Linked DNA regions of Anolis sagrei. The main gene of each other region encodes a partner of the protein of the gene in region 2 in a complex. Links are inferred from orthologs where the notes say so. Each region holds a gene or a part of one and is shown on either strand. Other genes may lie near its edges.

Region 1 (10,949 bases), on a different chromosome or scaffold from region 2:
TAAAGACCCATAAAAAGGTCCTTATGCTTCAGAAAGAGAAACAAAAAGGAATTTAATATGTTTTTTAATTTAATATGTTTACGACTAATCACTTGTATCTCTCTCACTGATTCTTACTGTACATATGCACAAAATTCAATAAAAAAGATTTATAAAAAAAAAGAGAAACAAAAAGGAATGTCAACTAAAACTTGGGTTAGAGTTCCATAGCAACTACTGTAGCCCCATTTATACTGCCACACAATAGTTTCAGAATGCAGAATAACTGCACTGAACTTGATTATATGAGTCTACACTGCCACACAATGCAGTTCAATGCATTGAAACTGCATTTTGAAACTACATTATATGGCAGTGTAGATGGGGCCTGATTGTAGTGGGATCTAAAGACAGCTCTGTCCAAAGAGCTTAACACTTAGGATCTCATCACACTAGAGAATGAATCCATCTCAACTTACCTTATCAACAGATCGCTTTTCCACTTCCTTTTTCACCTTTTCGGCCACAACAGGTTTGCCATTATTGCTGCCTGTAGGAAGGCTTGAGGAAACCTTAATCTCTTGTTTAACGGATATTGGTTTTGCAATAGATATTTTGGGTGGCTCTACCTCCTGAGTAAAGCCAAACAAAAATACAACATTGACCGTTTATTCAACTGCAAATAATAATAATAATAATAACAATAATAATAATAATAAAGTATAATTTCCATCCCTCCCTATCTCCCCAATGGGGACTCAGTGTGCTTAACAATATGTAGCGGTGAACATTCAATGCTGTAAAAGGTAAACAAACAGATAAATTACCATAAAAATACATTAAACATCTACATCAAGCAATAATTAAAAATTGCAACAAATTAAACATCACACAACTAAAAATTACATTTTAAAACTAATAAACTATTTAAAAAGCAGGCTTAAAAACTGACTTTAATAAAAGTTTTATAAAGCATTAAAATTTAAAAGCCAGACATCCCACAGCACATTTTGCTATAGTTTTTTCAATGAATATCTCGAGTCAAATTCAATCAATTCAACATAGTTTGTGGCAGCCACAAAAACCAAGTTTCTGGAGTATAACACTTTCAAAATCAGTATGGTACTATTAAATAACACTTTCAAATCAGTAACAAAAAATGTTTCAAATTTTGTTACATAGTGTAGTAATTGTTTGTTTTAATTTCTCTGTATTTTCACAGACTGATTCAAAGTATGTTTACTCATCGAGTTCAGTAGAGTTACTTCCTCATGATTGCAACCTTCTTTATTTATTCTTTATTTGACATATTCACTTCTTCTGATCAAAATGAAATCTCCATATAGTGAGTTTGTGGGGTTTAAAAAAACCCTCAAAGCTTTCTTTGGAATCTAAATGGTTTTTTGATTCAGGTTCCTTCCACACAGCCATATAACCCAGAATATCAAGGCAGAAAATCCAACAATATTTGCTTTGAACTGGGTTATTTGCTTCCTTTCTGGAGGAATCCTTTGTCAGGTGTTAGCTGGCCCTAACTATTTCCTGTCCAGAATTCCCGTTTTTTGAGTGTTGTTCTTTATTTACTGTCCTGATAGAATTTTTTTAATACTAGTAGCCAGATTTTGTGCATGGTTTCCTCCTTTCTGTTGAAATTGTCCACACGCTTGTGGATTTCAAGGGCTTCTCTGTATAGTCTGACATGGTGGTTGTTAGAATGGTCCAGCATTTCTGTGTTCTCAAATAATATGCTGAGTCAAGTTGGTTCATCAAGTGCTCAGCCATAACCATAGTACCTTTTTCTGACAAAAAGCACCTCAGTTTAAGGAGGAGCACAAAATACCTTACATATTCCATATATTAGGGCTAGTACCTTCTGTGAGGGGCGGTAGCTTGAGTCTATCCCTCTGGACAAGGATTCGTCAAGCAGCGCTTTGAGTTTCTCAGCAGAATCTTTGCTTTTGGAATGCAAGAAACCAAGAGCTTTCAAGAAGATGGGGTCCAGCTCCAAGTTCATAGCAGCAGCCATAGCAGCACCTTTGAAGGAAGAAAAGAAAGAGAGAAATAACAAGATGGAAAAAGTTTAAACATATGTTTTGCTTGTCAACTAACCTTTGGTTTTTGTTGTTTATTCATTCAGTTGCTTCCTACTCTACCTGAGCTACTACGTCCCAGAAGCACTTTATTAGAGTTTAAGACTCTCTGCACATTGCACTTGCCCGGAAATCCAACATACCTCCTGCCACACCCAGCACTTTTTAACCTGTACCCATCACTGGCCCAGCCCTGGTTTTATTGCATAATGATGTAACATTTTGTTATTGCTTATGTTTTAATTTGCTTTAAATTGTATTGTTATTGTTTTGCTGTTGTGTTGAGGCCTTGGCCTTTGTAAGCCGCATCAAGTCCTGCGGGAGATGCTAGCGGGGTACAAATAAAGTTAATAATAATAATAATGAGCTCATGGACTAGTCCACGCTAGAGCTCCCTGTCGGCCATGGCCACCCCCAGCTTTTTCAAAGTCAAGCCAGTCACTTCAAAGATAACATCCATCCATCTTGCCCTTGAGTCGGTCCCTTTTTCCTTCCATCTCCTCCAAGCTTTCCTATCTTCTCATTATGTGGCCAAAGCACTTTATCTTTGCCTCTAATATCCTTCCCTCCAATGAGTAGTCGGGCTTTATTTCCTGGAATATGTATGGGTTTGATCTTCTTGCGATCCAAGGCACTCACAGAATTTTCCTCCAGTACCACAGTTCAAAAGCATGTATCTTCCTTCACTCAGTCTTCTTTATGGTCCAGCTCTCACATCCGTAGGTGACTACGGGGAATATCATTGCTTTAACTATGCAGATCTTCTCTAGGCTTTGCTGTCTCCTCATGATGTGGCCAAAGTACTTCCACTTTGTCTCTAGTATCCTTCCCTCCAATGAGCAGTTGGGCTTTATTTCCTGGAGGATGGACTGGTTGGATCTTCTCGCAGTCCAAGGCACTCTCAGAACTTTCCTCCAACACCACAGTTCAAAAGCATCTATCTTCCTTTGCTCAGCCTTCCCTAAGGTCCAGTTCTCACATCCGTAGGTTACTACAGCGAATACCATGGCTTTGACTGGGCGGATCTTTGTTGCCAGTGTGATGTCTCTACTCTTCACTATTTTATCAAGATTGGACACTGCTCTCCTCCCAAGAAGTAAGCGTCTCCTGATTTCCTGGCTGCAGTCTGTGTCTGCAGTAATCTTTGCACCTAAAAATACAAAGTCTGTCACTGTCTCCACGTTTCCCCCCTCTATTTCCCAGTTGTTAATCATTCTTGTTGCCATAATCTTGTGTTTTTTGATGTTTAACAGCAACCCAGCTTTTGCGCTTTTTTCTTTCACCTTGATTAGAAGGCTCCTCAACTCCTCCTCGCTTTCGGCCATCAAAGTGGTATCATCTGCATATCTAAGGTTGTTAATGTTTCTTCCAGCAATTTTCACCCCAGACTTGAATTCCTCAAGCCCTGCACATCGCATGATGTGTTCTGCATACAAGTTGAATAGGTTGGGGGAGAGTAGACAACCCTGCTGTACACCTTTCGCAATCTTGAACCAGTCTGTTGTTCCATGGTCAGTTGTTCATTCAATCAGTCGTCTCCGACTCTTCATGACCTCATGGACCAGCCCACGCCAGAGCTCCCTGTCGGCTCCCTGTCACCACCCCCAGCTCCTTCGAGGTCAGTCCAGTCACTTCAAGGATGCCATCCATCCATCTTGCCCTTGGTCGGCCCCTCTTCCTTTTGCCTTCCACTTTACTTGGTCCTTATACAGATTCCTCAGGAGAGAGACAAGGCTAGAAGGGGCCAACTTGGGCCCTCCCTCCAGGTGTTTTGGACTTCAACTCCCACAATTCCTAACAGCCTACCGGCTGTTAGGAATTGTGGGAGTTGAAGTCCAAAACACCTGGAGGGCCCAAGTTAGCCCTTGCTTGCTATAGAGCCAGTTTGACACCACTTTACTCAATGCTCTTGAATCCTGGGAGTTGTAGCATGGTCCTCTTTAGCACAGGAGGAGAAAGGCATTCATTACAATACATTACAATTCATTACCACACAATGGAGAGAAGCTTTCAAAAAAAATAACCCCTTCCTCATTGGCCCCTGCTCTTTCACCTCATTTGGCAGGGAAACCCCGTCGCGAAGGAGAAGTCCAGCCAGCCAGGTGTCTCCTTCTCGTTCTCCTCCTTCTCCCTAGAGGTGCCGGCCGCCTTCTGTCCCCGGCTGGCAGGCAGACACACAACGGAAGTGAGGAGGAGCGCCGGAAGAGGCGGGGCTTGCGGCTTCTGAGGCGGACACTGAGAGGAAGGCGCTGGCTAAGGATCTCCGGTAAGGAGGCTTTGGAGAAATGTCCCATCAAGTCTTTGGCTTTTAAAGCGAGCTTTTGCTTGGAAAAGGATTGTCTTTTTCCCCTCTACACCAGGCCTGGGCCAACTTGGGCCCTCCCTCCAGGTGTTTTGGACTTCAACTCCCACAATTCCTAACACCCTACCGGCTGTTAGGAATTGTGGGAGTTGAAGTCCAAAACACCTGGAGGGAGGGCCCAAGTTGGCCCAGGCCTACTCTACAATTTGCAGTTTGACATCACTTTTCCCTGCCATGGCTCAGTGCTATGAGATCTTGGGAGTTGTAGTTTGGTGAGGCAACAGCACTCTAGCAGAAGACCTTGTAGAACTACAACTCCCAAGATCCCATTGCATTCTATTCTCTCTCTCTCTCTCTCTCTCTCTCTCTATATATATATATATAAATGCTCTGTGCATAATGAGTACCTTAAAAACAAAAGAACCAATGAACGAAATCATACCAAATTTGGCAACAAAATGTCTCACAACACAAGGAGTGGCCATCACTCTAAAAATTATGATTTTGTCATTTGGGAGTTGTAGTTGCTGGGATTTATAGTTCACCTACAATCAACGAGAATTCTGAACTCCCATCATCGATGGAATTGAAGCAAACTTGGCACACAGAACTCCCATGACCAACAGAAAATACTGGAAGGGTTTGGTGGGCATTGACCTTGAGTTTGGGAGTTGTAGTTCACCTACATACAGAGAGCACTGTGGGCTCAAACAATGATGGATCTGGACCAAACTTTGGCACAAGCACTCAATACGCCCAAATATGAACACAGATGGAGTTTGGGGGAAATAGACCTTGACATTTGGGAGTTGTAGCCACTGGGATTCACAGTTCACCTACAATCAAAGAGCATTCTGAACCCCATGAATGATAGAATCGGGATAAACTTCCCACACAGAACCCCCATGACCAACAGAGAATACTTAAGGCCATCCATTCCAACTCCCTTCACCAGGGCAAGAAAACATAATCAAAGTCCTCCTGACCAAGAGCCATCCAGCCATAGGTAGAGATAGATAGATATGATTCACACACAGAGAGATATAGTATCATAGATTTGAAAGGGACCCCTAAAGAAGGACAATGATATGTTGCATGTTCCAGGGTGGGCAAACCAGACACTCTCCACATCAACACTGACAAAGAAACAGCAAGAAATACTGTTTACCCACAAACATAACAACATTACATATATTGGAAACCAGCACTTTCTCATTACTTTATTTTCCAGATCAACACACTGGGCCACAGCAACGCGTGGCAGGGGACAGCTAGTTGAGCAATAATAATAATAATAATAATAATAAACTTTATTTATACCCTGCTACCATCTCTCCAAGGGACTCGGTGCGGCTTACATGAGGCCAAGCCCAACAATACATCAATAAAACAAAAAGCAATAACAAAAACAATCAATACAATACAATTAATATAAATCACATAACCAATAAATAATGATAATAATAATAATAATAATAATAATAATAATAATAATAATACTTTATTTATACCCTGCTACCATCTCCCCAAGGGACTCAGTGCAGCTTACATGAGGCCAAGCCCAACAGTACATCAATAAAACAAAAAGCAATAACAAAAACAATCAATACAATATAATTAATATAAATCACATAACCAATAAATAATGATAATAATAATAATAATACTTTATTTGTACCCTGCTACCATCTCCCCAAGGGACTCGGTGCGGCTTACATGAGGCTGAGCCCAAATGCAACAATACAAGCAATAATAACAGCAATACAAGTAATTAAAATAAACATGGACAATCCAATAATGCAACATTAACAATAAGACCACATGATTAAAAACTATGGGAAGGCCAAATGTAAAATTAAAATTGGAAGTAATGCTGGAACATGGGCGAAAAAGTGATGGGGCATTTGTGGAAAACATACAAGCAGGCCTAAAATGTAAAGTGCTTTGGAGGACAAAGTGCTATGGGATCATTATTCTTGGAAGGCACACAGGAACAGCCACGTCTTCAAGCTCCTCCTAAAGACTGCCAAAGTTGGGGCCTGCCTGATGTCCTTAGGAAGTGAGTTCCAGAGTCGGGGGGCCACCAGTAACATACACGCATTTAAAAACTTATGGCCAGGCCAAATGTAATAGTTTAAAATTTAAAAAATAACACTGGGCATGAACAAGGTAGGATATAACTGGTATAGGGTTTTCAAAGAGAGATGAGGGAATGCAGTCAGTCCTAAATCTGTGGTAAAAGTACATTTTGAGGGCATATTTCTGAGAGTTTTCCTTATTCTGGGAAGACACACTGGAACAACCACGTTTTCAGGCTCCTCCTAAAGACTCCTCCTAAAGACTCCTTGGGAAGTGAGTTCCAGAGTCAGGGGGCCACCACTGAGAAGGCCCTCTCCCTTGTCCCCACCAAACGCGCCTGTGAAGGAAGTGGGAGCGCGAGCAGGGCCTCTCCAGACGATTGAAGAGATTGTGTGGGTTCGTACACAGAAATGCGGTCACTTAGGTAGGCGGGTCCCAAACCATTCAGGGCTTTGTAGGTAAGAACCTGCACCCTGAATTCGGACCGGAAAATGAAAGGCACCCAGTGGAGCTCCTTAAACAGGAGGGTTGACCGCTCTCTGTAAGTTGCGCCAGTTAGTAACCTGACTGCCGCCCATTGTACCAATTGAAATTTCCAATTGAAATTTTCCGAGCAACGAGATCTCCCTTTAAGCGAAAATATATTTAATGGTGAGAAGATACGCAGAAGTTCCGTTGTCAACCTCTTTCTGCATCATTCATTATTTTGATTCTTAGGTTGCTGCCTTTGCCAGAGGAGTTGTGACTTCTTTTAATAATATTTTTTTGTGTAAATGACTTAATTTTTATTTTACGTAATCCACTGTCGAACTTTCAAGAACAGTGCTATTAACAATGAAAGCAATGTAACCAAGGTTTGTCTACACCAGTGGTTCTCAAACTGTGTGTCCCCAGGTGTTTTGGCTTATAACTCCCAGAAATCCCAGCCAGTTTACCAGCTGTTGGATTTCTGGGAGTTGAAGGCCAAAACATCTGGGGACCCACAGGTTGGGAACCACTGGTCTATACTGTAGAATTAATGCACTTGAATTGCCATGGCTCAATGCCATGGAATCCTGGGAGCTGTAGTTTTAGAAAGTCTGTAGCCTTCTCTGCCAAAGAGTGCTGGTGCCTCATCAGACTACAATTACAAGGATTCCATAATATTTTCTGTGGCAGTTAAAGTTGCATTAATTCTACTGTGTATTATGTGTTTTTAAAAAAATCTTCTCACTTCCATAGGGGAAGTGGGAATTGGTACATTTCCTCACAATTTCCAAATAAAAAGCTGAGGCTGCAGATGTGCATGTCAAACGATGTGGTCCCTAGGGTTTAGTAAGTGGAGTCTGTAATTGTACACATCACACAAGATTAAACAGGAGGCAGAAAGATCTAGTCACCAAAATTATGTCGGTATTCTGCAAATCAGGAATGTAATCCCTGTTCCCACTGTATATTGAATAACTTAATGAAATCAGTGGACTACTCAACCATTTAAGTACCATATGCTGAAGAATTTGCATTGGTAGTGTGATGGTAAAAGAGAGACTTTCAAGATGTAAAATTGGGTCTTACTCTGAAAATAATGCATTTTAACCAATTGTTAATTCAAGTTATTTGATTTCCCATGTGAATATTGTTGAATTTTGGATGCAAAGTTTGCTCAAAAACATTGAACTTTTTTAATGGTGTAGGAACTTATTCCTTTGCTGTGTGTGTTAATACGAGAAGGATGATGGATACTATGTTGTTTTGACTGTCTTAAAACAGTGCCATTAAACAGTATTTTCTGCCTTTACTAGCCAATATGAAGGAGGGGTGATGCCAAAAATTGCAGAGAGAAGATTAACTTAATGTAGAGTCCCCATGCCAAGCATATCTTGGTATTGCCCTTTCATTTTAGGCTAGTATAATTCATTTGGTTTGTGAATGAATTGATGTTTCCAATAGGAAAAAGGACTGATTATTTTCATAGTTTAAAATGTATTAAAAATTAAATCATCTACATATATTTTATTAATACCATTTCTTCCTTTAAGAAAAAAATGAAAGCGGTTACTGAAGACCACTTGTATCTGGACTACATTAATCAGACTGGAGATTGTATCTTTCCTCTCCATACCTCTGTATCGTTGTTCCTGTTGTCATACTGTGGCTGCAAAACATTCAGAGTGTTTCTAGTATCTTCAGATGAAACAGCTTCTGATTCTCAGTTTACAGACAAAGTACTACCGAAGGACCTAGATATTTGCTTCATCAAAAAGTGTGAACTCCCTTTGGTGGTCCAGAGTTGCTGTTTGCCTGCTGTTGTTGAGAAGAATGGAAGATTTTGCCGAGCAGGACTTGCTGTGGTACTCAGACACATTATACATAAAACGTACGAGGCAGATCCATCAAAAGAAGATATTCTCGAACTCTTGGGTTTTAAAAAGACCTGTTTGAAAGCTTGTGCTGAAGTGAGTATTTCTATATAGATTTATAGTGATTTGTAATAAACTTCAAACACATTGAATCTTATTAATTGATTTCAAACAGATTGATTATCCCACTATAGAAAAGCAAGCCAGTAACATATCTTGGCCTTCTTTCTTAAATTAATTCAGAAATTACTAACGTGATACAATCCCAGATGTCTAGTATAGATTAAATGGGAAGGAATCACAAAGAATAGTAAATCATGAAATGTAATGCAAATAACATTGAATATGCATTTGATACTGATATAGTTTTATGTCATGTCAGAAGTGACCTGAGAAACTGCATGTTACTTCTAGTGTGGGAGAACTGGCCATCTGCAAGGATGTTGCCCAGGGGCCACCTCCTGTAGGAGGCTTCTCTCGTGTCCCCGCAAGGGAAACTGACAGATGGGAGCTCACCCCATCTCATGGATTTGAATCATTGACCTTCAGGTCAGCAGTTCAGCCGGCCAAAGGATTTAACCCATTACGCCACCATGGCTCCTGATACTGATATGACAATGCTGGAAGAATTGAATAACAAGTTTATTGTTTTAATGTTTAGATTAATCTGTTTTTAATTTCTTGTTTTAATGTTTACATGTAGTTGCATTTTATGATTTAATGTATAGTTTTATGTTACTGTTGCATTATATTGGGTTTTCATGTTTTGTAAGGCATTGAATTTTTCCGTGAATATTTTGGAAATGGTTTTGAATTCCCCCCCCCCCCCCCCCAAGGGGGTAAGAAAAGTGGTATATAAATGAAGTAAATAAATAACTTATCCTTGGGGAAGAGGAATCTCAGTTAGTTGTTCTCAGTATGTTTGAATAGACCTTTCTTTTTGCTACAAAAGCAAAGGGCCGTATTCTGTAACTCTTCATGCTTTTGTTGGAATTCCTTTTGTGGTTTCCGTGAGTATAGATATAAAACTAATCCCTTAACTTAGCGATTATATTCATTTGCAGGTTAGTGAATGGACCAGACTTTGTGAAATCAGCATTCCTTCGGCTGTTGAAAACTTTTTACGAGCCTCTCCTGAGTGTGAGACTATTCCAGATGAGATACTGCAGCTAGAAAAAAAATTGGGAGCGCCTGTAAGGGTTCATAATGATGACAAAATTCGAAGGCAGAAAGTTAAGCAGCAAAAGACCTTTGTCAGGGAATCAAATAATGATGTTTCTTCACAAGATGAAAAGTTAACAGAAGATCTGGAACCCTGTGGAGCAGACCTGGAACTGAGAGTTGCTCTCTCTAAATTAACTCTGCAGAAAACACAAACGGCTACTTCTAGGGAGCCCTCTCACATAAGAAAGATAAAAACGTCAGAACTCCCACAGTTGGAACACGTTTTTGCAGAAGGACTTTATTTCACATTGGCTGATGTTGTTCTCTTTCCTTGCATCCATCATTTCCTGGTAAGAATGATGGTTTTATTTAATATGTGGTCAAGATGATCTAGTAGTTGATGAGTTGTTTCCACTCTCTCTTTATCTGTAAATGATTGTATTCGCTTTTACATGTTTATCTGGGAGTAAAAAAGTATAAAATGAAAATTATTAACTGGAATAAAGCATTTTGGACTTTAGGAGAGCTGATTTCCAAAAAATGAAGGAAACGCTGAGCAGCACTCCGTGGACACAGATACTAAAAGACAAGGGAGCTACGGATGGATGGGAACTTCTCAAGAGTGAAATACTCAAGGCGCAATTGCAAACCGTGCCAACAAAGAGAAAAAATAGGACAAGTGCAAAGAAGCCAGAATGGATGTCCAAAGAACTTCTAACTGTGCTAAGACACAAAAGAGACATGCACAAGAAGTGGAAAAAGGGAGAAATCACCAAAGAAGAATTCAAACAAATGGCCAACACCTGTAGGGAAAAGGTCCGCAAAGCTAAAGCAAAAAACGAGCTCAGACTTGCCAGGGACATTAAAAACAATAAAAAGGGCTTCTATTCTTATGTCAGTAGAAAAAGGAAAAACAAGGAGGCGATAGGACCTCTTCGAGGAGAAGATGGGGCAATGCTGACAGGGGATAGGGAAAAGGCAGAACTACTTAATGCC
Region 2 (11,548 bases):
ATACCGCTAATATCTCAGCCTGTGCGGCGACTCATTGCGGTTTACAACATATTTAAAAATACAATATTCACTTTAAAAATATAAAATAAAATATAAAAATACATATATATACATACATAGTATTGGGCCACCAATACAGACCGGAACATCTCATAGTTAAAGTCGTAATCCAATTCGTTATCCTTGATTGCTAGTCCATGATCAAAACATCATCACATCGGAATTAGTTGAAAACTTGCTCGAACATCCAAGTTTTCAGTTTTTTCTGAAATGCCATTAGCGAGGTGGCTGATCTTATTTCAGTAGGGAGGGCATTCCAAAGCCGGGGGGCCACCACAGAAAAGGCCCTATCTCTCGTTCCCGCAAGCCGCACTTGTGAAGCAGGCGGGATGGAGAGAAGGGCTTCTCCTGAAGATCTTAGGGTCCTGGTGGGCTGATAGGCCGAGATACGTTCGGATAGGTATGTAGGGCCAGAACCGTTTAGGGCTTTAAAGGTCAAAGCCAGCACTTTGAATTGGGCTCGGTAGCTAATCGGTAGCCAGTGGAGCTGGTACAGCAGAGGAGTTGTATGCTCCCTGCGCCCTGCTCCTGTTAATACCATGGCTGCCGCCCGTTGGACTAATTGGAGCTTCCGGGCCGTCTTCAAAGGCAACCCCACGTAGAGAGCGTTGCAGTAGTCAAGGCGGGATGTAACCAGAGCGTGGACTACCGTGGCCAAGTCAGACTTCCCAAGGTACGGTCGCAGTTGGCGCACGAGTCTTAACTGTGCGAATGCTCCCCTGGTCACCGCCGAAACCTGGGGATCCAGGCTCAGCGATGAGTCCAGGATCACACCCAAACTGCGAACCTGTGTCTTCAGGGGGAGTGCGACCCCGTCTAACACAGGCTGTAACCCTATACCCTGTTCGGCCCTGCGACTGACCAGGAGTACCTCTGTCTTGTCTGGATTCAATTTCAATTTGTTCGCCCCCATCCAGACCGTCACAGCGGCCAAGCACCGGTTCAGGACCTCGACAGCCTCCTTAGTAGCGGGTGGGAAGGAGTGACAGAGCTGGACATCATCTGCGTACAGATGACACCGCACCCCGAAACTCCGGATGATCTCGCCCAGCGGCTTCATGTAGATGTTAAACAACATGGGGGACAGTATTGAACCCTGAGGAACCCCACAAAACAAAGGTTGTGGGGTAGAACAGGAGTCCCCCAGTGACACCTTCTGAGACCGACCCTCGAGGAATGACCGGAGCCACCCATTCCCGCGAGGCGTCCCAGAAGGATACCGTGGTCGACGGTATCGAAGGCCGCTGAGAGGTCGAGTAGCACCAACAGGGACACACTCCCCCTGTCGAGCTCCCGACGGAGATCATCCACTAAGGCGACCAAGGCTGTCTCGGTACCGTGTCCCGGCCTAAAGCCAGACTGTGCCGGGTCTAGATAATCCGTGTCTACCAAGAATGCCTGGAGTTGTGAGGCCACCACACGTTCCATGACTTTGCCCAAAAAGGGAAGATTGGAAACAGGCCGATAGTTTACCAATTGAGTGGGGTCCAGTGATGGTTTCTTCAACAGCGGTTTTATCACAGCTTGCTTTAAGCTGGCTGGGAAAATGCCTTCCCGAAGGGAGGCATTAACCACCACCTTAACCCACTCGGCCAATCCCCCTCTGGCCTCCTTTAGAAGCCAGGATGGGCAGGGGTCTAGGATGCATGTGGTAGCTCTCATTCCTCCAAGCACCTTGTCCACATCCTCGGTTTGAACCAATTGAAATGAATCCATCAAAATCGGACAAGCAGATGCTCGTGTTACATCCTCAGAGACTGCCGTTAATATGGTGTCCAGTCCAGAGCGGATCAAAGCGACTTTGTCTGTAAAGAACTGAGCAAAAGCTTCACAGCGAGCTGCCGCGTCATCAGGGCACCCATCCTGAATGGTGGGTTTTAAAAGGCCTCTGACAACTCGGAACAGTTCAGCCGGACGGTTCTTTGCAGACGCAATAGTGGCCGCAAAGAAAGTTTTCTTTGCGGCTCTTATTGCCGCGGCATATGACCTTAAAAAGGACACAAACAATGATATCTTGCATGTTCCAGGGTGGGCAAACCAGACACTCTCCATCTCAACACTGACAAAGAAACAGCAAGAAATAATGTTTACCCACAAGCAAAAAGAAATTACATATATTAAAAACCAACACTTTCTCGTTACTTTATTTTCCAGATCAACAGACTGGGCCACAGCAACACCTGGCAGGGGACGGCTAGTAATAATAATAAAACTTTCTTTATATTCCGCTCTATCTCTCCAAAGGGACTCAAGGCGGATTCCAAACATAAAAGACAAACATTCAATGCCCAAATACAACAACAATACATTCATGCTAACAAAATGTATACAGTAAATATGAATTATAACTTCACAAACTAAAATTAAATAAAAAGCACAGCCTGTTATAACAGACATAAGACAAAACGTCAAAGCAGCTGTGTGTTTATTATTCTTGTTCTTCGAGGCTATTTGAACAAATCACATGCCTCGGGTGAGCTAATGTTTACTTTCAAGCCACATCATGACTATTGTCTTCCATTGAAGTGTCTCATATCTGTTATACTGACTTTTGAAATCTCCAGTTACAAATAATACACAAAATTATTCACTATCCAGTTATATATTTATTTGATTTATCGTGCCAGGAGCAAACCAAACAGTTGTATTGCATTTTTTAACAAACAAACAAACAAACAAACAAAACACAAAGTTTGCAAGCTTGGTAGTTGATTAAATGTCCTTTGACGATTATTTGGCCACTTGGAGTGCTTCTGGTGTTGCTGCAAGAAGGTCCTCCATTGTGCATGTGGCAGGGCTCAGGTTGCATTGCAGCAGGTGGTCAGTGGTTTGCTCCTCTCCACACTCGCATGTCATTGACTCCACTTTATGGCCCCATTACTTAAGGTTGGCTCTGCATCTCATGGTGCCAGAGTGCAGTCTGTTCAGCACCTTTCAAGTCGCCCAGTCCTCTGTGTGCCCAGGAGGGAGTCTCTCATTTGGAATCAGCCATTGATTGGGGTTCTGGGTTTGAGCCTGCCACTTTTGGACTCTCGCTTTCTGAGGTGTTCCAGCAAGTGTCTCTGTAGATCTTAGAAAACTATTTCTTGATTTAAATTGTTGATGTGTTACTGATACCCAAACAGGGGATGAGCTGGCTTGGTCCTTTCACTATTGGCTGCCACTTCCCGGGGGATGTCAGGTGGTGCAATACCGGCTAAGCAGTGTAATTTCTCCAGTGGTGTAGTTATATATTATCATTTTAGCATCCCAAAATGTGGTTTAATTTCCTCTAAGGACCACTTTATCCCCATATCTTGTTTCCATTCTCATATTCCAATGATGGAAGCATGTTACTGAGCATGTACAGAGTGCCTTTGGGGACCCAAGCTTTGTATTTGAAGAAAAATGTCCAGCTAAACTTAAACTTTGACCAGGTTGCCTTTGCTCCCTTCTCCGGGACCCATCTATATTGCATAATGTCACGTTTTTCACTATATTTGTGGTTCTGATATGATAAATAAAAATCTACATTGCCATATAATGTACTGTCAGGATGCAATTTAACTGCATTGAATTGGATTATATGAGTCCAAAAATGCCATATAATGTAATATAATGCATGTAATGGAACCTCACCACCAATAGGAGGACTAGGGTTCTTAATAACTACTTCTATCCAGACTATCCCTGCCTGGCAAGTCCAACGGTGCATCTACACATGTTGAATGAATGCAGTTCCATACCATTTTTACTTCCACAGCGCAAAGCTAAAGCATCAGTACTCTTGGACCTTGGAAAACTACAACTATCAACAGTATAGACAAAAGACACACATACACAGAAGAAGAGCCTATTGAGCCTATTATTTTGTTATTGTTTGCATTTTATTTGATGTTATTATCTGTTATATGTATTTCATTTTGATTTCTTGTCATTGTTGAGTTTGGCCTCATGTTAGCCGTCCCGAGTTCCTGTGGGGAGATGGTGTTCGGGTAGAAATAAAGTTGTTTATTATTATTATTATTATTATTATTATTAATATTAGTAATATTAGGTTCTGAAGACCCGGGTTTGAATCCCTGTTTAGCCATGGAAACCCATTGGGTAACCAAGTTACACTCTCTCAGCCTCAGAGAAAGTCAATAGCAAACCTCTGAACATATTTTATATTACATGAAGCAGAAACTACTTCGCTTTTGGACCACCACTTCCAGAATAGCTGGCTTGGGGATTCTGGGACTGGTGATCCAAAAAACAAAGGATGGATGGTATCCTTGAAGTGACTGGCTTCACTCTGAAGGAGCTGGGGGTGGCCACGGCCAACAGGGAGTTCTGGCGTGGGCTGGTCCATGAGGTCACGAAGAGTCGGAAGCGACTGAACAAATAAACAACAAAATTAAATGTTAATCACGGTGATCAACGGAAACATTAACAGCTTCCTCCAACAGACAAGAGTTCTTTCTCCCACCCTGATATATAAACCCAATTTTCCTAGTTTCCAACAGACCTCACAACCTCTGAGGATGCCTGCCACAGATACAGGCGAAATGTCAGGAGAGAATGCTTCTGGAACGTGGCCACACAGCCCGAAAAACTTACAGTAACCCAGTGATTCTGGCTATGAAAGCCTTCAACAACACAATAATAATAATTAAAAAATTCACAAAAATGGGACTTGAAAGTGTGCATCTACACTGCAGAATTCATTCACATTGATGCCACTTTAACTGCCATGGCTCAATACTGTGGAATCTTGGGGTTTGTAGTTTGGTGAGTCACTAGAAGTCTTTGGCAGAGAAGCCTGGAAACCTTGCAAAACTGCAACTCCCAGGATTCCATGGGTGCATTTTTAACTTTATTTCTAAACTTTTGTATTATGCACACACACACGCTAGCCGTCCCCTGCCACCCGTTGCTGTGGCCCAGTCTATGTATATGTATTTTGTGGGTATATATATGTGTATATATGTGGTTTTGTGCATGCATTGTAATTTTTTTTTGCCTTTTAAGTCTCTTCTGCTGTGTTTTTTAGTGTTTTTATGTATTTTATTTATTTTTATTTGTATACTAGCCATCCCCTGCCATACATTGCTGTGGCCCAGTCTGTGTATATGTGCTTTGTGTGTGTGTAACTGTGTGTATATATTGTGTATATGTGTGTGTGTGTGGTCTTCTGCATGTGTTGTAATGTGTTTTTTCTTTTTTTGCCTTTTTAAGTCTCTTCTGCTGAATTTTTCAGTGTTTTTATGAGTGATGGGCACTAGTTGGCCGGATAGGTGTATTGTGTCCAAATTTGGTGTCAATTTGCCCAGTGGTTTTTGAGTTATGTTACTCCCACAAATTAACATTACATTTTTATTTATATTGATGATATCAAATCCAACATAAAAAGAGTCTCTATAGACATTCAAGTATATTTTATATTGCTGAGCGTAAACATGAAAACATACAGTAAGTGTGGAATACATGGGTATGCATTGCTGTGGCCCAGTCTGTGTATATGTGTATGTGCGTATATATTTGTGTATATGTGTATTTATGTGGTTATGCACATAAGTTGTAATGTAATGTATTTTTTATTTTATTTTTTTGCCTTTTAAAGTCTCTTCCAGTGTTTTTCAATGTTTTTATGAGTGATGACCTGATAGGTGTCCAAATTTGGTGTCAATTCGTCCAGTGGTTTTTGAGTTATGTTAATCCCACAAACGAACATTACATTTTTATTTATATAAATGTAATATCATATATATATATGTATATGTGTATATATATATATATATATATATATATAAAATAACATATAATATAATATATAAATGTCATAAATAATATATATATATATAATGCTATATACATATTATATTATAATATAACATATAATATAATATATAAATGTCATACATTATATATATATATATATATAGATATATATATAATTATATATTATAATATAACACATAATAAATATATAAATATATTATATCATATATAATATATATAGGTTTGCTGTGTAGTTCTACAGTGTAGATCCACCCAAAAGTGGTCTTCTGTTAGCTTACAAAATTAAATCAGGTTTCAAAAAATAATATTAATACAAAAATAGTTTTCCTTTCTTCTGAGCCATGTTTCTCATTCCCACTCTGCTTCTGTACATCAGTGATCTTAACTTCTTCAATTGGAAGCCTGAAGTCATGGTTGCGGTAAATACTACTTTGTCAGACAGGTCTCTTGAACCTTTTCCCACCGAGGAAGGCGGCTGGCTACGGTGGCTCCGAAGGGTCAGTAGTGACGGAAAAGCGAAACCGCGGGACTGATGCTTCGATCCAAGATGGCGGCGCACTTAAAGAAGCGAGTGTATGAAGAGTTCAGCAAAGTGGTCGTCCAGGTAACCGGGGGGGTCTTTTGAGACGCGGGTTGGGTGGCCTTGAGTGTAGATATATCTGTGGAATAATGTCCAGGGTTGGAGAAAGAACCCATGTCTGTTTGAAGCAAGTTTGAATAGCATTGAGTAGCAATGAAGCTGTAAAGTGAGGTATCTGCATAGAGGTAGCCTGGCTGTTGTTGCCTGGAGGCACTCTCTGTTTGGGAGGTGTTAACTGGCCCTTGATTGCTTTTTGCCTAGAGTTCTCCTGTTTCTGAGTGGTGTTCCTTATTTACTCTCTTGATTCTGGTGTTTTTTTTAATACTGGTAACTAACTCTTGTGATAATAATAATAATAATAATAATAATAATAATTTATTTATTTGACCAGTCTTATGACCATTTCAAAATGCAACACGAGTAAAAGACAAGGCAAAAAGGAGAGGACAGCAGCTGACATAGAATCAAAGAGTTGGAAGAGACCTCGTGGGCCATCCAGTCCAACCCCATTCTGCCAAGAAGCAGGAATGTTACATTCAAATCACCCCTGACAGATGGCCATCCAGCCTCTGTTTAAAAGCTTCCAAAGAAGGAGCCTCCACCACACTCCGGGGCAGAGAGTTCCACTGCTGAACGGCTCTCACAGTCAGTTAGGAAGTTCTTCCTAATGTTCAGGTAGAATAATAGAATCAAAGAGTTGGAAGAGACCTCTAGGGCCATCCAGTCCAACCCCATTCTGCCAAGAAGCAGGAAAATCACATTCAAAGCACCCTAACAGATGTCCATCCAGCCTCTGTTTAAAAGCTTCCAAAGAAGGAGCCTCTACCACATTCCGGGGCAGAGAGTTCCACTGCTGAATGGCTCTCACAGACAGGAAGTTCTTCCTCATGTTCAGAAGGTGGAATCTCCCTTCTTGTAGTTTGACGCCATTGCTTCATTGCGTCCTAGTCTCCAGGGAAGCAGAAAACAAGCCTGCTCCCTCCTCCCTATGACTTCCTCTCACATATTTATACATGGCACTCATCATGTCTCCTCTCAGCCTTCTCTTCTTCAGGCTAAACATGCCCAGCTCTTTAAGCTGCTCCTCATAGGGCTTGTTCTCCAGACCCTTGATCATTTTAGTCGCCCTCCTCTGGACACATTCCAGCTTGTCAATATCTCTCTTGATTTGGGGTGTCCAGAATTGGACACAATATTCCATCTGTCTTCACTTCACTTCACTTCTCTTCACTTATGGTGCCCAGAATTGGACACAATATTCCAGGTGTGACCTGACCAAAGCAGAATAGAGCATGGGTAGCATGACTTTCCTGGATCTAAACACTAGTTTCCTATTGATGCTTTTTTTGCTGCCACATCACATTGTTGGCTCATGATTCTTGAGATGATGGAACAAAAGAGAACAGACATATGGAAGAGTGGGGATTTGAACATTGGCCTTTAAAGTCATACCCTAATGCTCAGACCACAACACTATACTGGCTTTAAACATCCATATAGATATACTTATGTAAGGCAATACAAATTTATTTATTTATCGTGTCAGGGGCAACCAGACCATTGTATTACATTTCTAACAGAACAAAATAAACAAACAGGCAAAACACAAAGTTTGCAGGCTTGGTAGTTGATTAAATGTCCTTTGACCAGTATCTGGCCACTTGGAGTGCCTCTGGTGTTGCCGCAAGAAGGTCCTCCATTGTGCATGTGGCAGGGCTCAGGGTGCATTGCAGCAGGTGGTCAGTGGTTTGCTCTTCTCCACACTCGCATGTCGTGGATTCCACTTTGTAGCCCCATTTCTTAAGGTTTGCTCTGCATCTCGTGGTACCAGAGTGCAGTCTGTTCAGCGCCTTCCAAGTCACCCAGACTTCTGTGTGCCCAGGGGGAGTCTCTCATTTGGTATCAGCCATTGATTGACTCTCGCTGCCACTTTTGGACTCTCGGTTGCTGAGGTGTTCCAGTGAGTGTCTCTGTAGATCTTAGAAAACTATTTCTTGATTTAAAGCGTTGGCATGCTGGCTGATACCCAAAAAAGGGGTGGGCCAGAGATGTCACTGCCTTGGTCCTTTCACTATTGGTTGCTACTCCCTGGTGGATGTCAGCTGGTGCAATACCACCTAAACAGTGTAGTTTCTCCAATGTCTGTTTGAAGCAAATTTCAGTTAGTAAACTTGAATAGCATTGAGTAACCATGAAGCTGCAAAGTCAGTCAGTGAGGGTATCTTCAGAGGTAGCCTGGCTGTTGTTGCTTGGAAACATTCTGTTTGGGTATAGTGTTAACTGGCCCTTGATTGCTTGTTGTTTGGAGTTCTCCTGTTTCTGTGTGATGTTATTTATTTACTGTCTGGATTCTAGTTTTTTTTAATGCTGGTAACTAGATTGTGTTCATGTCCATGGTTGACATTTACAGCCCAGAAAAAAAATCATGTTACATAGTAATATTTTAAATTATTTTTTCAAACAAAAATACTGAATTACTTACGAAAGTAATCATTGCTCTTTGGATTTTTTCACAGATATCTTGCTACATTCACATGCAGAATCAAAACACACACACATATAGCATAGGTTGTCTTCTTAAAGGAAGGCGTTAGAGAGGAGGAGTTAGGGGTGAAAAGTGATCTCCCTTTTCTGTGCTCCTGTACTCTCCCCTTCTCTCTCTGCACTCTCCATTTTTCTCTATGAGGGGCTTTTCCCCTTTCCATTGTCATCAGCTGACCACCAGAAGCGACTTGCAATTTCTCAAGTCACTCCTGACACGACCAAAAAAAAAAAAAGCTGGCCACCGTGCACATTCTGATTTTAATTTTTTTTAATGTGTATGTCGCAATATATATTTATATACTGTAAACATGGCCCCCTAAAACCATTGCAAATGCAAGAAAATTACTGTTATTAACTCATTCTTAAATTGCCCCCTTTAAAAAATCAAATTGCCCCTCTGTGAGGTGTGTGCCCCACATTGGGAACCAGGGATCTAGATGGCTATAATAACAAGGCAATTCTTACAGCTTAATGTGTGGAGAATCATTTAGCATTTCCTGCCTCCTTTCTTTGAGGAAACACAGCCTTACACAGTTTATTGTTACAGCAACAGCAGCATGAAGAGATTTCTGCGAAGAAGCTCCGGCTGACCAAGCCAAGTAAGTCAGCAGCACTCCACGTGGATCTGTGCAAGGCGACTTCACCAGCAGATGCTCTGCAGTACCTGCTGCAATTTGCCAGGAAGCCCGTGGAACCAGAAAGCGTGGAAGGAGTGGTCCGAATCTTGCTGGAGCATTATTACAAGGTGAGATGAGTAGGTCCTACAGTTTGATCACCACGGCTCAGTGTTCTGGAATTCTGGGAATAGTAGTTTGGTGAGGCACCATCTTTTTTGGCAGAGAAGGCTAAAGACCTTGAAAAAACTCCCATGATTCCATTGCATTGAGTCGTTAACAGTTAAAGTGATTTCAGACTGCATCAGTTCTTGAGTTTTATTTGTCGTGTCAGAGCAACCAGTCAATTTTATTACATTTCTAACAGAACAAAACAAACAAACAAAATACAAAATTTGCGGGTTTGGTAGTTGATTAAATGTCCTTTGACCAGTATCTGGCCACTTGGAGTGCTTCTGGTGTTGCTGTAAGAAGGTCCTCCATTGTGCATGTGGCAGGGCTCAGGGTGCATTGCAGCAGGTGGTCAGTGATTTGCTCTTCTCCACACTCGCATGTCGAGGATTCCACTTTGTGGCCCATTTCTTAAGATTGGCTCTGCATCTCGTGGTGCCAGAGTGCAGTCTGTTCAGCGCCTTCCAAGTCGCCCAGTTTTCTTTGTGCCCAGGGGGGAGTCTCTCATTTGGTATCAGCCATTGGTTGAGGTTCTGGGTTTGAGCCTGCCACTTTTGGACTCTCGCTTGCTGAGATGATCCAGAAGTTATAGAGTGTAGATCAGGCATGGGCAAACTTCAACCCTCCAGATGTTTTGGACTTCAACTCCCACAATTTCTAATAGCCTACTGGGTTGGAATCACATTCAATCACATTCAGGGAGACTGAAATAATTCAGGTTTCCTCTGTTGTTGTTTTTTTATCTCTATAGGAGAATGATCCTTCTGTCAGACTGAAGATTGCTTCCCTGTTGGGCTTGCTGTCAAAGACTCCAGGGTTTTCTCCTGACTGCATTCTGGATGATGCCATTAACACACTTCAGAATGAGAGTACGTAAGATTTTTCCAGTGGAGTTTGATAAGAAATTGGAATCTGTCCAGACTGAATTTTGGGTTTATTTGTGTCAGGTGCTGTCATCAATATATGCATAAAGCTGCTTTATATTTAGTTCCATTATTCCCCTCTGGCCAAAAGAATACAGTTCTTTTTCTGCCAGCTGGATTTGGCCAAAGATTGTTTCTTTCATTTTCAGATGACTTCTTTCCAATCCTGTGGTGCAGTACAGATTTTCTTTTCTTGTTTTATTTTAACCTTTGTAAACTTCTTTGTGTTCCATGTTGGGACAAAGGTGGTATATACATATCAGCAACTACTACTACCACTGCAGAGGAAAATAATACATTTCCTTTCTCCATCTTTCTGCTCCCCCCCCCCCTCAGTTATTCGTACCCCATTTATAGCTGAAAGCTTTATACAGGGTTTCTTGCGTTGTATAGCTCTGAAAACCTCTGTTTTCTTAAACAGCCATTCTGGGACATGAGTGAATGCAAACCATATTATTATTATTTATTATTGTTCTTAGAGTCGCACCAGGTTCTTGCTCAGCTGCTGGATACCTTACTGGTGATTGGGAAGAAGCTCCAAGACAGCCTTGCAGTGCGTGTGCGCCTGGTAGATGTCGCTTGCAAGGTAACTAGCAATGTGAACTAGTGAAAATATTATTAGTGAATTGATCATAGGGAAGTAATGGCCACTTCTAGTTCAAACATTTAAAAAAATGGATGCTTGTTCCTGTACCTAGTTCTTCTCTGGTTTTGCCTGCTTCCTCATATTGCAACTGCTATCTTTGTTTTCATTTCTGGCCAGTCTCAAGAGCTAAATCCTTTGAAACAGATAATTTATTTGCATCTGTTTATGTACTGTCTGTCTCTGTCAGTTGTATAATGAAATTGAATGTTTGCCATATATGTATCTGAAACTGCTTTGAGTCCCCTAG
Region 3 (10,522 bases), on a different chromosome or scaffold from region 2:
GTCTCCTGTTCCGTGGTCAGTTCTGACTGTTGCTCCTTGGTCCTTGTACAGATTCCTCAGGAGAGAGACAAGGGGGCTTGGGATGCCCATCCCACCAAGAACTTGCCACAATTTATTATGATCCACACAGTCAAAGGCTTTAGAATAGTCAATGAAGCAGAAGTAGATGTTTTTCTGAAACTCCCCGCCTTTCTCCATTATCCAGCGGATATTGGCAATCTGGTCTCTCGTTCCTCTGCCTTTTCTAAACCCAGCTTGAACGTCTGGCCACTCTCGCTCCATGTATTGCTGGAGTCTTCCTTGCAGGATCTTGAGCATTACCTTACTGGCATGAGAAATAAGGGCCACTGTGCGGAAGTTTGAGCAGTCTTTCACATTTCCCTTTTTTTGGTATGGGGATATAAGTTGATTTTTTCCAGTCTGATGGCCATTCTTGTGTTTTCCATATTTGCTGGCAAATGGCATGCATCACCTTGACAGCATCATCTTTCAAGATTTTAAACAGTTCAGCTGGGATCCCGTCGTCTCCTGCTGTTTTTGGGATAGGTGCTTGAAATTATAACTCATCCCACCAAAAGGGGCAGGAGTTGCAAAATTAAAAACAGAAATATAAAGGGAGGTGTGTGTGTGTGCGAATCATCTCTTCCTCCCACATTTTATTATTATATTATTATATTGACCTTATTTATTTATTATCATCTCTTCCTCCCATATTTTATTATTTTTATTATTTTACTGACACAAAAACAGTATGTCACAGCAAACTGGATTTCGTATCACAAAATCACAAGTCAAACATTTCCCAAGCGTCTGGGATTTATTTATTTATTTATTTACTTTGCTTCTATACCGCTGTATCTCAAGCCCGAAGGCGACTCACAGCGGTTCACAAACAGTAAAAACAGTAGAAACAGCAGTGGTGCCATGCAACATATAACAATTGACTTAACACATTATCCATAAATTACCAATAAGCAATTACAATGCACAATTATTACGAAAAACAACCGTACCCAATCTTCTCATCATCCAAGCGTAGTCCAGGTTCGTCGTCCATTGTTCCATTCCTATGTTCCATTACCAGATTGCACTAAATTACTCAAACGCCTGCACAAACATCCAGGTCTTCACCTTTTTGCGGAATACCATTAGAGATGGTGCTAGTCTAATGTCCGTAGGAAGGGCGTTCCACAGCCGAGGAGCCACCACCGAGAAGGCCCTATCTCTCGTCCCCGTCAGCCGAGCTTGAGAAGCAGGCGGGATCGAGAGCAGGGTCTCCCCGGAAGATCTCAAAGTCCTGGTGGGTTCATAGGCAGAGATGCGGTCAGATAGGTAGCTTGGGCCAGAACCGTTTAGGGCTTTAAAGGCCAACGCCAGCACTTTGAATTCAGCCCGGTAGCAGATCGGTAGCCAGTGGAGTTGGCGCAACAGGGGGGTTGTATGCTCCCTGCGCTCCGCTCCTGTTAAAATCATGGCTGCCGAGCGTTGGACTAGTTGGAGTTTCCGAGCTGTCTTCAAAGGCAACCCCACATAGAGAGCGTTGCAGTAGTCTAAACGGGATGTAACCAGAGCCAAGTCAGACTTCCCAAGGTATGGGTGCAGCTGGCGCACAAGCTTTAGCTGTGCAAATGCTCCCCTGGTCACTGCCGAAACCTGGGGTTCCAGGCTCAGCGATGAGTCCAGGGTCACACCCAAGCTGTGAACCTGCGTCTTCAGGGGGAGTGCGGCCCCATCCAACACAGGCTGTAACCCTATGCCCTGTTCGGCCTTGCGACTGACCAGGAGGACCTCTGTCTTGTCTGGATTCAATTTCAATTTGTTCGCCCTCATCCAGACCGTCACAGCGGCCAAGCACCGGTTCAGGACCTGGACAGCCTCCTTAGTAGCAGGTGGAAAGGAGTGACAGAGTTGGACATCATCCGCGTACAGATGACACCGTACCCCGAAACTCCGGATGATCTCCCCCAGCGGCTTCATGTAGATGTTAAACAACATGGGAGACAATATTGAGCCCTGAGGAACCCCACAAGACAATGGTTGTGGGGTTGAACAGGTGTCCCCCAACAACACCTTCTGAGATCGACCCTCCAGGAATGACCGGAGCCACTGCAAAACAGTACCTCCAAGACCCATCCCCGCGAGGCGTCCCAGAGGGATACCGTGGTCGACGGTATCGAAGGCCGCTGAGAGGTCCAGCAGCACCAACAGGGACACACTCCCCCTGTCGAGCTCCCGGCGCAGATCATCCACTAAGGCGACCAAGACTGTGTCAGTTCCATGCCCCGGCCTAAAGCCAGACTGTGCCGGGTCTAGATAATCCGTGTCTACCAAGAATACTTGGAGTTGTGAGGCCACCACACGTTCCAAGACTTTGCCCAAGAAGGGGAGATTGGAAACTGGCCGATAGTTGTCGAATTTAGTGGGGTCCAGTGATGGTTTCTTCAACAGCGGTTTTATTATAGCTTGTTTTAAGCTCGCTGGAATCTTGCCTTCCCGAAGGGAAGCGTTAACCACCACCTTAACCCACTCAGCCAATCCCCCTCTGGCCTCCTTTAGAAGCCAGGATGGGCAGGGGTCCAGGATGCATGTGGTTGGCCTCATTCCTCCAAGTATCTTGTCCACATCCTCGGGTTTCACCAATTGAAATGAATCCATCAAAACTGGACAAGCAGGTGCTCATGTTACATCCTCAGAGACTGCCATTAACATGGTATCCAGACCAGAACGGATCAAAGCGACTTTGTCTGCAAAGAACTAAGCAAAAGCTACACAGCGAGAAGTCGAATCGTCAGGGTTCCCACCTTGAGTGGTGGGATTTAAAAGGCCTCTGACAATTCGGAACAGCTCAGCCGGATGGTTCTTTGCAGACGCAATAGTAGCCGCAAAGAAGGCCTTCTTTGCGGCTTTTATTGCCGCGGCATATGCCCTTAAAAAGGACACAAACCGTGTTCGATTTGGCTCACTCGGATCCGAACGCCACACACTCTCTAGTTCCCTCTTCCTTCGCTTCATCGCTGCCAGCTCCTCGGTGAACCAGGGATTGTGTGATGTATTTTCGAATTGATGCGTATAGATCCAAGTCAGGTGGCCTTTTGTAGTTGACAGGTCGTGATTTTGTCAATGTTTATTGTTTCCAAATGCTGGCTGAGATCTTTTGGCACAGCACCCAGTGTGCCAATGACCACTGGGATCACCTGTACTGGTTTTCGCCAGAGCCCTTGCCATTCAATTTTGAGGTCCTGATCACGGCTGAGTTTTCCTGTTTTTCATTGTTTTTCCTCAATGTGACTGTCTCCTGGTAGGGTGACATCAATAACCCAACAGTTTGAGGGACTGTGATCTGGCCCTCTGTTTAAAAAGTTCGAGGACCCCTGCCCTAAATGGTTCTGGTCCAATTTACCTGTACGAATGCATCTTCCCTTATGAACCATCTAGGACTTTAAGATCGTCTGGGGATGCCCTGCTCCGGGTTCTGCCTTCATCAGACGAAGAAGACTAAGCTTTCTACAGGAGCTCTTGGTATTACGTCCTGCACGAAAGGCTTCTCTGTGTGGACTGAATCCCAAATGACTCCTATTCCCTTTGTTGTTCATTCGTTCAGTCGTCTCCGACTCTTCGTGACCTCATGGACCAGCCCACGCCAGAGCTCCCTGTCGGCCATTACCACCCCCAGCTCCCTCAAGGTCAGTCCAGTCACTTCAAGGATGCCATCCATCCATCTTGCCCTTGGTCGGCCCCTCTTCCTTTTGCCTTCCACTTTCCCCAGCATAATTCCCTACAAAACCCAAAAAGGGGGCAGGGCCAGGGAACCTAACTATAATTGACAGGTGGCTTGCCCTATGATTGCAGCCAAAAGAAGCCACCTATCTGCAGAGTCCCTGAAACTTAGGACTACAACAAACATTCTGTGCAAAGCAAACAAAATTGGAGCTCCTGGTACAACTGTACCTGCACAGTTGTACTGGATCACACATCGCACAATTATTATTATTATTACTATTTAAAACTTCCTCCAAAGTCCTCCCAGACTCACCAGCTTCATGCTTCACCCCAGGCTCTGTTTGTGGCATGCAGTCTCTTCCTTCCTGTTTCCCAACCGGAAGTGCTTCCCGAAGCATCCTGGGAAGTGTAGTCCTTCTCTCAGCCTCCTAATGATTCAGGAGAATGAAGTCATGGGCGGCCATCTTGTCCTGCCAGCAGCAGAGCACGCCGGGAAGCGTAGTCTCTACTCCCTCCTCCCCGCCTCCCTCCTCCAACCGCCGTCTAATCAGCGTCGGCGCAAGGCATGCCGGGATGGGTAGTTCCCAGCGGCGACTTGGCGCCTGCACCCTGGGGGAGGCGGAACTACAAGTCCCAGGGCCTCCCCGCGGCGGCAGGTGGGAGCTTGGATGTTGATATCAACATGGCGCTTGTCAGGCAGACAAAGGCAGTCAGGCTGGTCTGATTGAGGGCAGGGAAGCTTCCCCTCAACTTCTCCTCTTCAGGGCTCCAGAAGAAGGCTCCAGGTGAGGCCCATCTTATGCTAGGGCAGAAAATCAAGAGTTGTTTCTGAAAGGAGATTTTGGAGGAAAAGGGAAAGAAACAGGAGAGATTTGGAAGGAAGAAAGTGGCTCCTTCCCAAAGTGACTTTGTGGGGAAATGTCAACAGAGTTTTGGGGAGGAAGGACAAGAAGAGGTTGGTTTTCCTCATTCTCTGAGGAAGAGAGGCTTCCTCTTTGTGGGATATAGATATAGAGAGAGAGTTTAATCTATCTATACTATATACACATCCCCTTTGCAGGGGAAGGTTTGTTTTCTTCCTCTCTGAGGTAGAAATACTTCTTTTGAACTAGCTGTTTTGTGGGATATATATTTATAGTATAATATGTCTATATCTATTATATATAAATCATATATCTCTATCTATATCCCCTTTGCAAGAGAAAGAGATAGTTCTTTTGAAGTAGCTATTTTGTTGGATATAAATTTATAGTATAATATGTCTATATCTATATATATATATATATATAGAGAGAGAGAGAGAGAGAGGGGGGGAACCATATATCTCTATCTATATCCCCTTTGAAGGGGAAGGTTTGTTTGCTTCCTCACTGAGGAAGAGATACTTCATTTGAACTAGCTATTTTGCTGGATATATATTTATAGTATAATATATTTATATCTATAATATAGATAGATAGAGATATATAACCAAGGGAAGGTTTGTTTGCTTCCTCACTGAGGAATAGATACTTCTTTTGAACTAGCTATTTTGCTGGATATGTATTTATAGTATAATATATTTATATCTATAATATAGATAGAGATATATAACCAAGGGAAGGGTTGTTTTCTTCCTCACAGAAATAGAGAGACTTATTTTGGACTTGCAATTTTGTGTGATCTATATCCATCTATCTATATAGTATACTGTCTCTCTATGGATATATATAGTATATTATATGTATATCTATCTATATCTATATATCTCCCCTTTGCAGGGGAAGGTTTGTTTGCTTCCTCACTGAGGAATAGATACTTCTTTTGAACTAGCTGTTTTGTGGGATATAGTATAGTATATTTATGCTAACCCTTCCATTGGGAAAATAGCTTATTATATTTATCTATCTATCAATATATCCCCTTTACATGGGAAGGTTTGTGTTCTTCCTCTCTGAAGAAGGAGACTTCTTTTGAACTAGTTGTTTTGTGGGATATAGTATAATATATCTATGCTAACCCTTCCATTGGGAAAATAGCTTAGAAAGAAGATACAGTATTATATATCTATACCTATCAATATATCCCTTTTGCACATGAAGGTTTGTTTTCTTCCTCTCTTTTGAACTAGCTGTTTTGTGGGATATAGTATAATATATTTATGCTAACCCTTCCATTGGGAAAATAGCTTAGAAAAAAGATATAGTATTATATATCTATATCTATCAATATATCCCCTTTGCATGGGAAGGTTTGTTTTCTTCCTCTCTTTTGAACTAGCTGTTTTGTGGGATATAGTATAATATATCTATGCTAACCCTTCCATTGGGAAAATAGCTTAGAAAGAAGATATAGTATAATATTCCTATATCTATATATCCCCTTTGCAGTGGAAGGTTTGTTTTCTTCATCACTGAGGTAGAGAGACTTCTTTTGGACTAGCTCTTTTGTGGGATATAGATATCTAGAGAGAGTTTAATCTATCTATAGTATATATACATCCCCTTTGCAGGGGAAGGTTTGTTTCTTCATCACTGAGGTAGAGAGACTTCTTTTGAACTAGCTGTTTTATGGGATATAGTATAATATATCTATGCTAACCCTTCCGTTGGATAAATAGCTTAGAAAGAAGATATAGTATAATATTTCTATATCTATCAATATATCCCTTTTGCACAGGAAGGTTTGTTTTCTTCATCACTGAGGTAGAGAGACTTCTTTTGGACTTGCAATTTTGTGGAATATATATCTATAGTATAATACATCTATATCTATCTGCACTGTAGTTATATATGTGTGTGTGTGTATAATACGCTCTCTCTCTCTCTCTATATATATATATAGTATATTATATCTATATCTATATATCTCCCCTTTGCTGGGGAAGGTTTGTTTGCTTCCTCACTGAGGAAGAAATACTTCCTTTGAACTAGCTATTTTGCTGTATATATATAGTATAATATATCTATATAATATATAGATATATTATACTATATATATATACAGCAATATATATATATATAGAGAGAGAGGGATAATCATATATATCTGTCTATATCCCCTTTGCAGGAGAAGGTTTGTTTGCTTCCTGACTGAGGAAGAGATACTTCTTTTGAACTAGCTATTTTGTTGGATATATATTTATAGTATATTATATCTATATCTATCTATCCATATCTATATCTCTCCCCTTTGCAGGGGAAGGTTTGTTTGCTTCTTCACTGAGGAAGAGATATTTCTTTTGAACTAGCTATTTTGCTGGATATATATTTATAGTATAATATATCTATACCTATGTAATCATATATCTTTATCTATATCCCCTTTGCAAGGGAAAGTTTGTTTCCTTCCTCACTGAGGAAGAGATACTTCTTTTGAACTAGCTATTTTGTTGGATATGTATTTATAGTATAATATATCTATATCTATAATAGACAGATAGATAGAGATATATAACCATATATCTCTATCTATATCCCCTTTGCAAGGGAAGGTTTATTTGCTTCCTCACTGAGGAATAGAAACTTCTTTTGAACTAGCTATTTTGTGGGATATGTATTTATGGTATATCTATCTATCATCTATATCTATATAATCATATCTCTATCTATATCCCCTTTGCAGGGGAAGGTTTGTTTTCTTCCTCTCTGAGAAAGGAGATGTCTTTTAAACTAGCTATTTTTTGGATATATAATATAATATAATATAAATCCACTTGCAGGGGAAGGTTTGTTTTTCTTCCTCTCTGAGAAAGGAGACTTCTTTTGAACTAGCTATTTTGTTGGATATATACATAATATAATATAAATCCACTTGCAGGGAAAGGTTTGTTCTCTTTCTCTCTGAGAATGAAGGCTTCTTTTGAACTATCCGTTTTATTTTCTGTTCTCTATATGTATTTGCAGGGAATAGAATACAAAAGGGTTATTTTCTTCCACTCTGTGGATGAGACTTCTTTTGGACTATCTATTTTGTAAGGTTTGTTCTATCTATTACGTATGCATGCATGCAATTTTTTGCAGGGGAAGTTTTAAAAGACAAGGAGGCGGCTGGCTGCCTCCCTCCTTCCCTCCCACCCTCTCTTTCCCCTTGAAATGAATGCTGTCGGGCAAAGAGATGGAGAGGAAACGTCTCTTTTGGGCGCCTGCTCAAGATCACTCTCCTTGTTGCCTCTTAACTCACTTTGAAGGCTCTTCTCCTGTACAGGAAGGAGCTGGTTTCTTTCCCTCCCACCTCCCCGCCTGCAAAATCTGACATTATTAAGTTGTGATTGCTCTTTTCTGCATCGCGCGAGACGGAAAGAGAGGGGATGGCGGTGGCTCTTCTTCTAGGTTAATTGCTCCGAAAGGGAAAACAAAAAGGAAGGTATGATCATTGTCTTGGATTCTCCCAGCCATCTGGAGAGGCTGGGCTCTTGTCGCGGATGCCCAGATAACATGAAACTCAGCCAGGGAGAGTCATCTCAGTCTGACGGACAGGATTGTTTCCCAACAGATCGGTTCTTTCGTAGGTCAAGGTTGCCGTCCCTCAGGGTATGAGAAAAGTCAAGCAGGGACACACTCGGTTTGTATGTCTACTCAGTGCTGTGTGAATAACATCAGCAAAGTGTCTTGGTTTTGACTGTTAACATTTCCAGAACTTGGTTTTGAGTGATGGTAGATGATTTGTGGTGGATACTTCTTTTCTGCTGCAGAAGAAAGCACATTTTTGTCTCTGTTAGGAGAGGGAAGATAATGTATTCTGTCTTGATGGCCTTGAAGAGCAGTTGTTTTTTTCTTGATTTAAGCAGTCTTTAGCCAAATTGCTGAAATAATTATGACTGTATTTCCTCGATTCTAAGGTGTATGCTTCTCCTCATGTAAAACCCTCTAAAATGGGATGCATCTTAGAATCATGGCTGCTTTTTTTACATATAATAAAAGCTTTTTCTCTTGGTGTTACTAAAATTAGTGCATGTCTTACAATTAATGGTGTCTTAGAGTAGAAGAAGCATGTTATTATTTTTGGGGAGAGAGTGAGGGCTTTATGCATGCTGTATTTTATTTGGGAATTGATTCCAGCCTTGAATGAGATGATTGATGCTCAGCTCACTGGCAGCCTTTACTGCTGCTTCATTAAACCTAAGCTCCTGGTTTTAACTAAACTTTAATAGCTTCTGTTTCTCACAGCACACTTAAACCAGGTGAAGAGTTTTGACCTCTTTACCATGCGGGTTGGACTACCTGTTGGTTTTTTTCTAGGGTTTGGGCATGAGAATTCCAGTAAAGTATATGCGTTTAGAAATTGAGATGGTGGCGGTATCGGAAAAGGGCAGAGAAGTGGCAGGGGAGGGGTGTTGCGAGCTGAGAGACGGGGTGTGCCATAATCTGATATCCAGAGTGGGAGGAGTTCTCTTGCAAACAGGAAAGCATGACAAGTGGGACCTGAGAACTGTCACTGCATCCCAAGCTTTGGGTTCTTCTGTAGCAATGTTGGGTTGAAGGGGGGAGTTTGAAAGGGAGGTGTATGAAAGTTGGAGAGCCTAAAGGGTGACCAAGGTCTGGAAGCCAAGCCCATTGAGAAGTGGCTTAGGGAACTTGGTATGTTTATCTTGGACTTGGAGAAAAGAAAGCGGAGAGACAGGGATATTAACCATGCTGAAATATATGTAAGCATGTCACAATGAGGCATGAGCACTTTTTCCCCCTGCTGCTTTGGAGACTAGGACACGATGGAGCAATGGAATGAAACTGAGGAAAAGAGATTCCACCTAAACATTAGGAAGAACTTCTCAAGGATAAAAACTGTTCAATAGTGGCATATGCTTCCCCTGAATGTGGTGACGTCTCCTTTTCTGGAGGTTTTTAAACAGAGACTGGATGACCATCTGTCGGGTATAATTGCTTGTATTTTTCTGCATGGGAGGGGTTTGGATGGATGGCCCTTGTAGTCTCTTTCAACTCTGTGATTGTATGAAAGATACAGATGTGCTTTTTCCAGCATCTAACATGAGACAAATGTGTCATAGGCATCTAATGCTGAACTGCTTGGGAGTGTTGAGGTATTCTTCCTCAGTCTTCCACTTTTCAGAAAGTTGTGTATATGTATCGGCCTTCAGGTTAACTTACAGCAATCCCATGAATTTCACATGGGTTTCTTAGGCAAGGAATATGTATAGCTGGTTTTGTCATTTGCTTTCTCTGAAATAGAGCCAACAGCACCTGGCATTCATTGGCAGTCTCTCATCAAAGTATTAACCAGCGTTAACCCTGCTCAGCCTCTGGATCAGACAGAAACTGGTGCCTTTAAGGTATTTAAAGTGAGTGCCTTAACATTCAAATGCTAGGGATTTGAAGAATCTTTCCATTATGCATCTGTTTATTTTCCTCAGTAGATGTTTCTTTGCAAGAAAAAAGAATAAATAAATATAAGACATATATAGGAAGGTTGCGAACTGTACACCATTTTTACCTGAATCCATGGCCTGTATTTGAGGTATTGTAAGATTGGAGCCTTGTTAACAATAGTATAGTCATCTCTGAGCAATATCGTGAAAGGGCAAGAAATGGTTAGTGTTAAAATTTATGGTAATTGTATTTTTACTGCTTGGAAAATGGAGAAGTGTTTATGAGATTTTCTGCCTGATGTAATGAAATCATGAAATATCTTGACTGGAGGACAGAAAGGCATTGAGATATCTAGGGCTTGCCCCAAACCTTGCTTGGAAATACCTTTGGTTTTGCATCCATATTTGATATAATTAAAGGCAAATTAGTGAGAGCCGACATACTTACGGCACCTAAGAGGTTAAGCTGTAAATGATGACACTCCGAATCCCATTTTT

Evidence for each region.
Region 1: INTS4 (region 2) and INTS12 share a complex: the UniProt entries of both Homo sapiens proteins name them as parts of the integrator complex. The link is inferred for Anolis sagrei from reciprocal best matches to the Homo sapiens genes INTS4 and INTS12.
Region 3: the proteins of INTS4 (region 2) and INTS9 are in contact, whole or in part, in a cryo-EM structure (PDB 8RC4), measured with the Homo sapiens proteins. The link is inferred for Anolis sagrei from reciprocal best matches to the Homo sapiens genes INTS4 and INTS9. Residues at the interface, in NP_291025.3 of Homo sapiens: Leu53, Gln54, Leu57, Gln58, Arg61, Lys62, Pro86, Ser87, Leu90, Lys91, Ser94, Gln125, Gln129, Asp132, His164, Gln207, Asp208, Pro209, Arg210, Arg212, Asp244, Tyr245, Glu246, Gln247, Trp296, Phe837, Gly840, Leu841, Val842, Val843; in NP_060720.2 of Homo sapiens: Lys2, Tyr4, Lys18, Ser21, Thr22, Leu43, Val44, Gln45, Glu87, Glu89, Leu90, Asp92, Asp97, Thr122, Glu145, Arg146, Val147, Pro148, Lys159, Glu174, Ser176, Thr177, Ser192, Gln195, Phe206, Gly207, Ile379, His380, Ser384, Asn385.

Annotation. Positions count from the first base shown.
Region 1 is NC_090025.1:29,042,380-29,053,328, forward strand, and holds the start of INTS12 (integrator complex subunit 12), read right to left. Parts: upstream 4,255-10,949; 5' UTR 4,123-4,254; intron 2,014-4,122; 5' UTR 2,006-2,013; coding exon 1,850-2,005; intron 612-1,849; coding exon 459-611; intron 1-458. Other genes in the region: GSTCD (glutathione S-transferase C-terminal domain-containing protein), read left to right, coding at 8,475-8,885, 9,854-10,303. UniProt on the Homo sapiens protein: Component of the integrator complex, a multiprotein complex that terminates RNA polymerase II (Pol II) transcription in the promoter-proximal region of genes.
Region 2 is NC_090023.1:10,008,335-10,019,882, reverse strand, and holds the start of INTS4 (integrator complex subunit 4), read left to right. Parts: upstream 1-6,299; 5' UTR 6,300-6,355; coding exon 6,356-6,427; intron 6,428-9,494; coding exon 9,495-9,692; intron 9,693-10,483; coding exon 10,484-10,601; intron 10,602-11,134; coding exon 11,135-11,241; intron 11,242-11,548. UniProt on the Homo sapiens protein: Component of the integrator complex, a multiprotein complex that terminates RNA polymerase II (Pol II) transcription in the promoter-proximal region of genes.
Region 3 is NC_090021.1:8,092,110-8,102,631, forward strand, and holds the start of INTS9 (integrator complex subunit 9), read right to left. Parts: upstream 4,141-10,522; 5' UTR 4,043-4,140; coding exon 4,034-4,042; intron 1-4,033. UniProt on the Homo sapiens protein: Component of the integrator complex, a multiprotein complex that terminates RNA polymerase II (Pol II) transcription in the promoter-proximal region of genes.